Linked DNA regions of Caenorhabditis elegans. The protein of the gene in region 2 interacts with the protein of the main gene of each other region in a pairwise test. Each region holds a gene or a part of one and is shown on either strand. Other genes may lie near its edges.

The links.
Region 1: the proteins of rfip-2 (region 2) and mfap-1 interact in a two-hybrid assay, tested with the Caenorhabditis elegans proteins (one study listed by BioGRID).

What each region holds. Positions count from the first base shown.
Region 1 is NC_003279.8:8,636,821-8,642,774, reverse strand, and holds mfap-1 (Microfibrillar-associated protein 1), read left to right. Parts: upstream 1-2,538; 5' UTR 2,539-2,539; coding exon 2,540-2,697; intron 2,698-2,751; coding exon 2,752-3,541; intron 3,542-3,671; coding exon 3,672-3,944; intron 3,945-3,997; coding exon 3,998-4,177; 3' UTR 4,178-4,261; downstream 4,262-5,954. Other genes in the region: mog-7 (GCF C-terminal domain-containing protein), read right to left, coding at 1-61, 643-914, 967-1,121, 1,166-1,304, 1,358-2,095, 2,147-2,248; cpn-1 (Calponin-homology (CH) domain-containing protein), read left to right, coding at 5,652-5,771, 5,900-5,954. UniProt on the Caenorhabditis elegans protein: Involved in pre-mRNA splicing.
Region 2 is NC_003280.10:721,031-727,808, forward strand, and holds the start of rfip-2 (FIP-RBD domain-containing protein), read left to right. Parts: upstream 1-2,757; coding exon 2,758-2,803; intron 2,804-2,864; coding exon 2,865-2,993; intron 2,994-3,397; coding exon 3,398-3,551; intron 3,552-4,480; coding exon 4,481-4,746; intron 4,747-5,779; coding exon 5,780-6,083; intron 6,084-6,778. Other genes in the region: T02H6.1 (WD_REPEATS_REGION domain-containing protein), read left to right, coding at 86-307.

The sequences.
Region 1 (5,954 bases), on a different chromosome or scaffold from region 2:
TAATCCTTCTTCATGATTAATTCTAGCAAGTGTAAATTCACGTTCTCGACGTCGACGGCCTCTGAAATATATAAATATATAGATTTTGATAGAAATAATCTGAACAAGAATGAGATTTTTTTTTCTAAAAAGTGAAATGTCATAGTTGTGAGAGATCGTCTATTGTCATATGGGAAATATTTTCACATGATTATTGCGAAATAGAAAAAAAAATTGAGTATGAATATCTATGTGTGCGATGAAAGAAAATAAAAACAGAACTCAAACTAAAGGGACTATATTTAAATTTTAATTAGTTGGTTGAAAGTATAATTAATGGGGTTATTCAAGTAATGTCGGAAAATTAAAAAGTGTAGAAAAATTACGTCACCTTATTCAAGTAGATAAAAACATGTATTTAAATACATTTGTGACGTCACAAATGTACTTAAATACATTTTGCTACATTACTTGAATAATCCCATAAATATTTGTTCTACATTTTCGGAAAGTTTTAGAATTTATAAACTTTCTGAATTCGTAAAAAAAATTCGTGCCGAGACCCATCATTTTCAGCTATGATTATTTTTAGAAAGCACAGATATTGATATTGACAGATTTCCCACAGACCTGTCAATTAAACTATTTCAAAAAAATACGTACCTTCTGGCGTCACGTTCTGCTGCTCTTCCAGCGGCCTCACCCATTCTTGCATTTCTTCCCTGCATACATTCTGCATGTTGATCCCTCATGTCTTGTCTTCTACGTACCGAGAGTCTTGAAGTCCTGGATTTCCCACAATCTCTTTTCTTATCGATAATCGAATTAATTTCGCCAACTTTTTCATTCAGACATTCTAAAAGACTACGGGAATACACTCGTAATTCTTGATACATTGTGTATTTGGTACTTTGGTTAGGAAGCTCCATTTCAATCTGAAATTATTAAAAAATGATATATATATATAATTATTGAAATACTTGTTACCTTTGCAATCATTGATTTGTTTTCTTCAATATTTTGCTCCAATTTTCGTTTTTCTTCTTTTCTGAAATTCAATGCTTCATCTCGTTCTTGAATCCGCAATTTTAATTTAGCAAGAATATCTTCAATTTTTACAACTCCTCCGGTATTTGATGGTCCTGAAATTAATTAAAATTATTTGTCTTCAAACAAAATAATATACCAGTAAATTCCGGTTTTCCAATTACTTGAACATCCATATCAAGATCAATATCCATATCCATTGCTGTGTCATCTTCAACAGGAACTGTATGCCCAAATAATTTAGAAGTATTTCGTTTTTCTGTTCGCAGTTGGCCTATCTATAATTTTTAAATTTTCAGATTCACGATCTCTATTACCACAAAAAGCTCACCTCTCTCCGACTAACAGCTTTCCGAATTTGTTGTTTTTCCCATTCCTCATTTTCACTATCATCATCACCTTTTATTCGTTCAGCTTCATCAATATCTCCATTTTCTCGTTCTAAAAATCCTTCTTGTTCTTCTCTACGACGATCTTCTTCTGTTCGAAGTAGCTCACGAGCCGAATAGAATTTATTTGTACACTCTTCATCCGAATCATCATTCTCATCTTCTCGAATCAATCGATTTCGTTCACTTTTAGATTTAAGTTTTTGTGTGTCATCCAAAGGAATATATCCGTCTTGATTTCCCTCTCTTCTGGCTCGTTCTCGGCGTTTTTTTGCTTCGAAAACGGCACGAGAGTCGGGAATACCTTCAAAAGCAGAATTGAATTTATTGGAAACTGATGAAATTGCTTCTGCATCAATATCCAAATTTTCTTCGTATTCGTAGCTCTCCGAATTCGAAATGTGCTTAGCAGATTTGTCACGATATTTGTCAAGGTATTTATGCCGCTCATTTTTCGTCTTTTTGTCTTCTTTTGAGAGTTTCTCCTTTTTCACAATTTTATCAAGCGCTTCCTTACGAATTTTCTCTTCCTTATATAATTTTTCAGCTTCCTCCTCTAGTTTGTGTTGACGTTTCAATTCTTCAACTTTTTTCTTGTCTTTCTTAAGTTTGAACGTCGAATCAGCTCCTTCATCAGCATCGAAACTCATGGCTGGACGAGGCACAGCAGGTTGTTTGACCTTTAAATAAAAATTAAATTAAAAAGAATGTTGAAATTCATTAAAACTCACTTCGATAGCCGAGACTACTTGTTGGTTTTCAGCATCAGGTTCATCCCATCCGTCAGATTTCCGTTGGCGAATAGCACCTTTTGCCTTTGGTTTACGGAACATTCTGAAAAACGTTTTGAGTAAAAAAAAAAGAAAAAAATGAGCGTTTAGCAAGAAAATTTGGCCAAAATTGATATTTGAAAATATTTTCGTAAACGAGACTGTCGTAAGATGTGCTGTTGGGTCTGCATACACCACGTGAGGTACTCTTTATGCATTATAACTTACGAGCAATTTAATGCTTATTATTTTTTTCGAAAAATTCAATTAAAAATTTTACATATTTACTCTTTATTGTTTCTGACTATTTTTTGCCGAAATTAAAAAGGGTTAATTTTAAAAATAACTTTCAGAATGGGAGATTATGTACCTGGATTTGAACAACGCGAAAGCGATAATCGAAGTTTCGGACATTCGCGTCTTCCGACTCTTGGAGCCATTCCAATCAAAAATGAGAAAGGACAAACTGTTATGCAGAAAGTGAAAGTTTCAAGATATGTGGCTGGAAAGGCGTAAGTTTTTTTTCGTTTAATGGTTGAATTAGTCTTTAAAACATTGATTTTCAGACCAGAATATGCTCGTAACTACGACAGTGACAGCAGTGAATCAGACCGAGAGACAGATCGAGATGATGATCGAAGAAGACGTAGACGTCGTGAAAGTAGTGATGAAGAAGATAGAAGACGCCACAGAAGACACGAAGATTATGGTAGACGACGACAGGTGGAGAAGCCAGAAGTTCTTGGAAAAGTAGAGGACGAATCATCTGAAAATGAACAGGAATCTGAAGAAGACGAAGAGAAACAAGAAGAGAGAAGAGAAAGAGCCAGAATGAGAAGATTGGAATTACATGAAAATAACAGAGAAAAAGATGAAGAACAAGAAGACAGTGCTGAATCAGATGAAGAAGATTTTGAAAGAAGACGTCAAATGCTCAGAGATAGAGCTATTAAAAGAGAGGAAGAAATAAAACGAGAAATTAAAGAAGAACTTGAAGAAGATGATGTTGAAGAGGAGGAAGAAGAAGAAAGTAGTGAAGAGGAAGATTCAGATGAAGATGACGATCCAGTTCCAAGATTGAAGCCTATTTTCACAAGAAAGAAGGATCGTATCACTTTGCAAGAAGCCGAGAAGGAGAAAGAAAAAGAAATTCTGAAAAAGATCGAAGACGAAAAAAGAGCTGAAGAACGGAAGAGAGAAAGTGCAAAATTAGTTGAAAAGGTTCTTCAAGAGGAAGAAGCTGCTGAGAAAAGAAAAACAGAAGATCGTGTTGATTTGTCATCTGTTCTAACCGACGATGAAACTGAAAATATGGCATATGAGGCGTGGAAGCTCAGAGAAATGAAACGATTGAAGGTAAATTTTTGCTGCAAAATTTTGAATGTAGATCTTCGAAGTTTTTTTTTTGAGTTTTTTAATAAATTGACATAGAAATTTCTCAAAAAAATTCTCACTATAATATCCGATATCCAATTTTTTTTTGCAGAGAAACCGTGACGAACGTGAAGAAGCCGCACGCGAGAAGGCAGAACTTGACAAGATTCACGCAATGTCCGAGGAAGAACGACTCAAATATCTTCGTTTAAATCCAAAGGTTATCACTAACAAACAGGACAAAGGAAAATACAAGTTCCTTCAAAAATATTTCCATCGTGGAGCTTTCTTCTTGGATGAAGAAGATGAAGTACTCAAGAGAAACTTTGCCGAAGCTACCAACGATGATCAATTTGATAAAACTATTCTGCCGAAAGTTATGCAGGTAAATACTCGTAACTTATTATAGTGATAATTGAACTAAATTATTTATTTCAGGTCAAAAACTTTGGAAAAGCATCTCGAACCAAGTATACGCACTTGACAGAAGAAGATACAACAGATCATCAAGGTGTTTGGGCATCAACGAATCAGTTGAATTCTCAATTCTCCACGAAAAGAGCCGGAGGATCCAGACCAGTTTTTGAGAGACCTGCAACAAAAAAGCGAAAGAACTGAAAAAGCTTGCACATTCCTGAAAATCCCAATTTTTTGTACTTCGATTTCTATTTATTTGTTTTCTAAGAATAAAAAATGTTTCAGAGTAATTGTGCGATTAAAATACACCAGTACAATACGTGTTGCAGTAGCAATTATTCAACGCCAAAGTTCAAAGTTCTCGTCATACCAGCTAATGCAAAGGACAAACACAACTGTGTGTTCGAAACAAAAAAAACCAACAGACGGTTCGTTTCTCCCCTCATTTGGTTTGTGAACCTCTCCTATTCGGACTTTCAAATGTTTTATTGAGAATTCCCATATCGACTCTCGTTTTCATATTTTTCAAATGCATTCAACCTAAACGAGCCGCTCACCATTCGTCCTTGTTTTTTTCTATTCCTTTTCAAGGTTTTCGTCATCATGTTGTGAGGAGTGTGTTGTCGATCGCCACCTTTTCCGATCGGTCGACTCTTGAAAAGTGGTTTTGCGTTTTTAATTAGAAAAGGGTCATTGGCGTGTTTGTATGCATGTTTGCAAAGTGTCCTATTACCGGTACAGAGAGTGTAGATAGTTAGAGAGTGACAGACATCCGGGACCCAATGGGGCGGGACGCGCGGAAGAGACGATTTGTGCCGATTTACGAAATTTTCCTCGTTGTCATCATTTCGTAAATCGACACAAATCGTCTCTTCCGCGCGCCCGCCCCATTGGGTCCCGGATGTCTGTCACTCTCTAACTATCTACACTCTCTGTACCGGTAATATTTCTTTCAAGAAGTAGTTTTCGTTTTCTTTCATTAGTTTTATGTTTTTTATAAACCAGGATATTAGATCGTAGTTTTCTTATTTGAGCTGCAAAATCTCTTTTTGAAAAATTTTTCCATGCTTATGTAGCTTTCATTTTTTTATCGCTCTTTTTAGATTGCGACATAGAACCAAAGTAACTTTATTTTGAGTGCCTCGAGCTCGAGAAAGTTCTAAAAATCTATTTTTACAATGAAATATTAATAATTTGCTGAATTTTATTTAAAACATCTTCTTTTAATGTTGGAGAAAAAGAACAGTATTTTCAAAATCAAACACAAAAATCTAGCGATCACCACAAACTTTTGTTTCGCTATGGGACCCGGTACTGTTGCCTCTTGAATGTTCCTTTAACTACAAAAGACCGCCTGAATTTTAGGAGCGCTCCTGAGCACATTTCTCATATCTTCATTCAAACCGGCAGTTTTCTCCCGAGAGCACTCTTAAATTGTTATTTTTGGGCTATTTTCGATTAAACTCTTCCAATTCTTTTTTATCAAACACCGTTCAATCAAATGTTCCTTATCAAAAACGCAAGACGTAGGCGGAGAACCAAAACTTTGCGATGAGTCAGAAGAATTTCACCATTTTTGGTTAGCGGAGAGTGGAAGAACCTCTTTTGTTTATAAATATTTTTTCTCGTCGTTAACTATACGCTTTTTTTCTTTCAAACTTATTCGTTCTAGAAAATGTCCGCTTTCGCTTCTTCGGATCGCGCTGAAAAGTCTGGAATTGCATTGGAGGCCCAGCAGAAAATCTACGAGAAATACGATAAGAATCTTGCCGGAGAAATTCTTCAATGGGTTCAGGTAATTTTGTGAAACTTTTCAAACGTTTATTGATTCTTGGCAAAGTCATATGTTTACATTGCAAACGAAGAAAATCATACAAATAAGTTATGCTCCTTCTTCGATTCACGATTTGAAACATTTTTCAGAACGTCACTGGCCAATCTTTCGACACCCAAGGAGACGCTGACAACTTGGTCAAGG
Region 2 (6,778 bases):
CCTTTTTCGGTTATTTTTTGTCCATAAAAATCTCAAAAATTGAGCTCTCGGAGCCCGGGAAAAGCTGAAAAATGCTCCTTTTCAGGTGGATCGTGAAGCCCGTAACCAAGTGGTGATTCTTCCAATCAAATATACAGATGGAAGTGATAATAATGACGTCACCATTGGTGATAAGACGGCTTCTGGAACAGTTTCAGGGGCTTCTGCTGGTGGTGGTGGAGGAATCGAATCGGGTGATGAATCTGAAGAAGAAGAAGAAGAGCTGGAGGAAGAGCTGGAAGAGGAGGAAGAAGAAATTGAGGAATAAGGTGAGATTTTCCAGAAAATTGAGCTGAAAATTCGAATTTCCCGCGATTTTTCGGGAAAAAATGATCAACAAATCGTGATTTCAAGCCAAATTTCACCTTTTTTAGGCCGGAAATCAATTTCCCCGAAATTTTTCGTTAAAATTTGGTGTTTGCGGGCTTCTGGAGCTACAGTAACCTTATGGACAATCGAAAATTCAAAATTTCCACAATTTTCCGTAGAATTCGGTGTTTGCAGACTTCTGAAGCTACCGTAACCCTTATGAAAATTGAAAATTCAAATTTCCCGCAATTTTTCGTAGAATTCGGTGTTTGCGGACTTCCGGAGCTACCGTAACCCTCTTGACAATGGAAAATTCAAATTTCCCGCAATTTTTCGTGAAATTTGGTGTTTGCGGACTTCTGAAGCTACCGTAACCCTTATAAAAATTGAAAATTCAAATTTCTCGCATTTTTTCGTAGAATTCGGTGTTTGCGGACTTCTGAAGCTACCGTAATCCTTATGAAAATTGAAAATTCAAATTTCCTGCAATTTTACGTAAAATTCGGTGTTTGCGGACTTATGGCGCTACCGTAACCTTCGAAAAATTCAAATCATTAAAAAAAAGCTGCTACAGTAACCCGTAATTTTCCGTAAAATTCGGTGTTTGCGTACTATTGGCGCTACCGTAACCCTTTGAAACAGCCAATTTTTACTGAAAAAAAAAGCGGGTTTCGCAATAAATCCCCCCTTCCCAGCAGCTTATCACACTCCGCAGATCTGATAGAAATCGAAAAGTGTGAAGAGACAGAGATCTATGACGCAACTGTTGTGGGGAAATCCGAAAAAAGCGGAATTCAAGGACATTTTGGGAATTTATAGCCGAAAATTTCGATTTTTTCCAATTTTTATGGGTTAGTGTAGCCCCAAAAATACGCAAAAACACAAATTACAGCTGAAAATTTGGATTTTTCGCTGGAAAAGTGCCAAATTTGCACCTAAAAATCCAGTTTTTGGGCCATTTTTCCTCCTGAAAATTCAATTTTTCAACTAAAAACCGAGCTTACAAGTGATTTTTATCCTGGCAATTCATTTTTTTTCGTCTAGAAAATCAATTTTCCAGCTGTTTTCTACAGTAAAACCTGGTTTTCCGAAGCTTTCCCCCTCGAAAAATGAGCTTTTAAGGGGGAAAAGCTGTAATTTTCGTCTGGAAAATCGATTTTCTAGCAGTTTTCCCCCCGGGAAATTGGCATTTTGAGTGATTTTCAAGCCAAAAAACTGGGCTTCTGCTGTAATTTTTGTAGTTTTTTGACTTTTCCGCGGTTTTTCTAGTGGAATCTCAATTTTCCAGTAGGTTTCCTACCTTAAAATTGCAATTTTGAGTGATTTTTTGACCCTAAAAGGTTGATTTTTCACTGAAATTGTCAATTTTCAGCCTTTTTTTCAGCTAAAAATCGAATTTTGAATCGTTTCCAGCTGAAAAATCAAAGTTTTTACCCATTTCTCTGTCTGAAAATCGTTTTTCCACTCCAACTTTGACATTACACTAAACTTTTGTGGTGAAACGCAGAGAAAATACGTAAAATATTGAATTTTTCAATGTGATAACGGTCTCTTATCAGCCGAAAAACGTACATTTTGACGTAGTTTTTGAAAAAAATCAGTTGAAAATTGGGGTATTCCTCATTGATTTTCTCGCGTGTTTTTGTGCTCAAAATTGCTCATTTTGCTCGAAAATTGAGCATTTTTTACACTTTTGGAGCTGAAAATTCTCTGAAAATGGCTCCAGGAGCTCAAAAATTGACTTTTACAGCTGAAAATAGTCTTCAAATTTCAATTTCAATGACTATTTTTCCGAATTTTTGAGCTCGCAGAGCCCAAAACCTTCAGGAAAATTGAAAATTTCCTTGAAAATTCCACAAAAAAGTAAATTTCGACACAAAAATTTCTAGAAAAAGTAGTTTTTATAGCTGAAAATCGTCTTAAAAATTCGATTTTTAGACTATTTTTCCAAATTTTTAAAAACTCTAGGAGCCCAAAAAGAGCCCAAAAACCCCCATTTTCTCTCTAATTTTCCCAAAATTTTTCAGATTCCTCACTGCCTGCGCCTCCGCCTACCTACCTACACACATCAATCTCTCCTCCAAATAACCAGTTCTCTTATCAAATTGTTACTTTTTTTGTCTGTTTTTCCGCCTGTTTTTTGATGATTATCGATTGAAAATCGGCCGATTTTCACCTTTTTTTCACCCAAAATTTGTTGATTTTTTCATTGTTATTTTCCTTTTATTTTCCTTTTATTTTTATTGTTTTCTAATTTTTTTTGCAATTTTTTGCAATTTTTCTCCCCCCAAAAAACGTGAACTTTTTTATCAAAAATATTCAACTTTTTTCTTTTTTTTTTCTCTCAAAAAATCTGGTCAACCAAGCCCAGTTTAAATATTTTATTTCGATTTTTCCATCTCTTTCAAAATGACGATTTTTCGCTGGATTTTTGGATATTTTTTCGGATTTTGCAGTGGGTTTTGTAGCCACAGCTTTTTCAAATTTAAAACCAGAAATAAAGCGATATTTTCCAGGCACCGCTGGCCGTATCAAGGCGGGAAACGAGAAGGAAGTCGAGTTTAAGAAACGAAAAATCGTCAAAAATCAGCCGAGAAATCAGGAAAATCAGCCGAAAATGGAGCCCAACACAATGCTTGCACATAGTGAGTTTGGAGGCGCGAAAAATCGATAATTTGCGTGAAAAATCGATCATTTCAGTGAAAAATCGATAACATGCGTGAACAATCAATAATTTGCGTGAAAAATCGATAATTTCAATAAAAAATCGATAATTTCAATAAAAAAATCGTTAATTTCAGTTAAAAATCGATAATTTTATTGAGAAATCGATAATTTTAATTAAAATCGACTATTTGCGTGAAAAATCGATAATTTTGATTGGAAAATCGATAATTTCTGTGAAAAATCGATAATTTTCAGTGAAAAAATCGATAATTTCAACTGATATTATCGATTTTTCGTTGAAAATTATCAATTTTTAATCAAAATTATCGATTTTATCATTGGAGCGCACTGGCTGTCCCGCGAAAATTCAAAACAATTACAGTAACCGCCGCCCGTGGCCTCTACATGAAGAACAAGTCATCACTGGACGCCTACGCTACAGTAACCCTACAAGGAAAAGGATCATTGCGGAGTCGATGTTCGACGGATGTACTGAATACAGAAGGAGAATGTCGTTGGGATGAAGTTTGTGAATTGTGAGTAGTGGCTGCTCCGAATGGAAAATGAGCTCGAAATTCGGATTTCTCGTGATTTTTTATGTCGGGGACTGGATTTTCGGAAGATTTGGAGCTCCTGGAGCATTTTGGAACTTTAAAATTTGATTTTCCCGCAATTTTTCGTAAAATTCGGTGTTTGCGGACTTTTAGACCTACCGTAACCCTCTAGACAATCGAAAATTCAAATTTTCCGCAATTTTTCGTAAAATTCGGTGTTAGCGGACTTCTGGAGCTACCGTAACCCTTTAGACAATCGAAAATTCAAATTTTCCGCAGTTTTTCGTAGAATTCGATGTTTGCGGACTTCCCGACCTACCGTAACCCTTCTAAAAATCGAAAATTTATATTTTCCGCAATTTTTCGTAAAATTCGGTGTTTGCGGACTTCTGGAGCTACAGTAACCCTTTAAACAATCGAAAATTCAAATTTCCCGCAATTTTTCGTAAAATTCGGTGTTTGCGGACTTTTAGACCTACCGTAACCCTCTAGACAATCGAAAATTCAAATTTTCCGCAATTTTTCGTAAAATTCGGTGTTTGCGGACTTCTGGAGCTACCGTAACCCTTTAGACAATCGAAAATTCGGTACTAGTCTGAAATCACCCCGCCACTTTTTTTAATCATTTTAATATTATCCATTTTAATAAAACGTGATGTCCATTTTCCATCTTTAGGCTTAGAAATGGTTATTTCCTAAGCCTAAAAATACAACAACTCCACACGTTTTTATTTGAAAATTTATTTAAATTTAAAGAAAAAAAAGTGGCGGGGTGATTTCAGACTACTACCGAAAATTCAAATTTTCCGCAATTTTCCGTAAAATTCGGTGTTTGCGGACTTCTGCAGCTACCGTAACCCAGTCGAAAACGAAAATTTTGTAGAAAATTCGCAATATTTCCAATTTTCCAGCAAACTCTCGGACAAGTTCAACTCGGTGGTGGTTGCAGTTCACGCCAAGGCAAAGCTCGGTACAAATGAGCTCATCGGCCGCTGTGAGCTCGAACTCGAGAATGCAAAGATGCTCCACGGACAAACGAATTGGCTCCGCCTTAAAAAGAAGACAAACGACGAGAAATATCGAGGAGAAGTACAGATTAAGCTCGAGTTCAACTACGAGAAGCCATCGATGAGTGTTAGCTCATTGTCGTTAAATCAGATTGGAAATGAGCAAGAAAGTGAGGAAATTCACGTCGGAAATGCTCGCGGAGCATCTTAAAAGCCGGGAAAATGTCGGCTCTGAGAGCCCAAATAGTGTTTGCGTAATCCTGGAGCTACCGTAACCCTCGAAATTCGATTTTCTGTGAAAATTTCGAATTTCGCGGGTTACGGTAGGTCGAGAAGTACGTAAACACCCATTTTTTCGGTCGAGATTTGAATTTTCAGCGGAAAAATTCATAAAAGCGTTCAAAAATCGATATTTGCGGGCTTTTCAGTCAACCGTAACCCGCGAAATTCAAATTTTTGAAAAAAATGGAGTTTCGCGGGTTACGGTAGCTTCAGAAGTACGCAAACACCCATTTTTCGGTCGAGTTTTGAATTTTCAGCGTAAAATCGATGAAATGACTTAAGATTTGGTCTTTGCGGAATTTTCACTCTACCGTAACCCTCGAAAATAAAATTTCTCGGAAAATTTGAATTTCTCGGGTTACGGTAGCTCCAGAAGTACGCAAACACCCATTTTTCGGTCGAGATTTGAATTTTCAGCGGAAAATTCATAAAATTGCTCGAAATGTGCTCTTGCGGGATTTTCAGTCTACCGTAACCCAAACATTCAAAATTTCTGTAAAAATTCGAATTTCTCGGGTTACGGTTGCTTGGAAAGTACGAAAAACCCCATTTTGCCGGTCGAATTTTGAATTTTCAATCAAAAAGTTCGAAAATTGCATCAAATTTGGTCTTTGCGTACTTCTGGACTTACCGTAACCCAAAAATTACAAATTTCTGTACAAATTTGAATTTTGCGGGTTACTGTAGCTTCAGAAGACGCAACCACCAATTTTCTCGGTCGAATTTTGAATTTTCAGCTTAGAATTCATAAAATCGCTCAAAATTTGGTCTTTGCGGGCTTTTCAGTCTACCGTAACCCTCGAAATTCGAATTTTCATAGAAATTTGGAATTTCGCGGGTTACTGTACCTCCAGAAGTCCGCAAACACTGAATTTTACGACAATTTTCAGTTTTTTCATTAAAATTTTGCCCATTTTTCAGAGTCTTCCAGTGGTGGCGGTGGCCTAATGTCGAAAATGAAGCGAAAAATCACACAAGCCAAAAATGGACACAAAAAGGCCGAAGATACAATGTCAATGGCCTCTGCGTGGTCCGCTACGAGCAAAAAATCGACAATTTCCACAAAATCTGGCAAATTTTTCGGCAAAATTGGCTCCAAACTGGGCCTAAAGGATAAGGAGAAGCCGCTGCCAGTTGGAACATTCCTCACGCCGATGGATAATCATTTGGATGGAGGAGGAAATGATTATGACTCGACGGGACGGGGAACTAGCCGGAATTCTAGGTACTAGAATTGCGTGGAAAAATGAGAAGAAATGGACAAATTGGAGGTTTTTGAGTGAAAAAATGGGATTTTTCGACCATTTTGAGCATGAAATCGGATAAAATTGGAAAATCTTGAGATTTTCAGGTCAAATTTGGCTCTTTTTTGAACTTATTTGCTCTAAAATGAAAATCGAGGCAAAATTGCAATTTTTCCCGCAATTTTTCGTAGACTTCGGTGTTTGCGGACTTCTGGAGCTACCGTAATCACGGCCTCCTGCGCGTGAAATGCGCCAAGCGCACGAAGAAAGCGACGCGCTGTGACTTCTCTGCGTCTCCACTCTCTCGCGCGTGACGATAGAGCTCATTTGAAGTGCGTGTTTCAAAGACGGGAGACAGTGCAAATTTTAAAATAAAAATATGAAAAATGAAATGAGACGGTTTTTTCCAGCATTTTGACTACCCAACGAGATTTTACGGTTCACTCTGAAGAAATTTTTATTTCGTTATTATTTCCCTCATACTAAGCGGCTCTGAAATTTTTTCTAATTTTTTTTGTTGTTTTTATATGAAGTCAATATCAAGAAGCATTATTCAATGACAAAAAATATCAAAAAATTAAAATCTTGTTTTTAAACATAGTATGCCCGTTTTTGGCAGGACGATATGGCTGGTATGGGCCAAGAGAGAAAAAAGTAAAAATCTTTTCTCACCGAC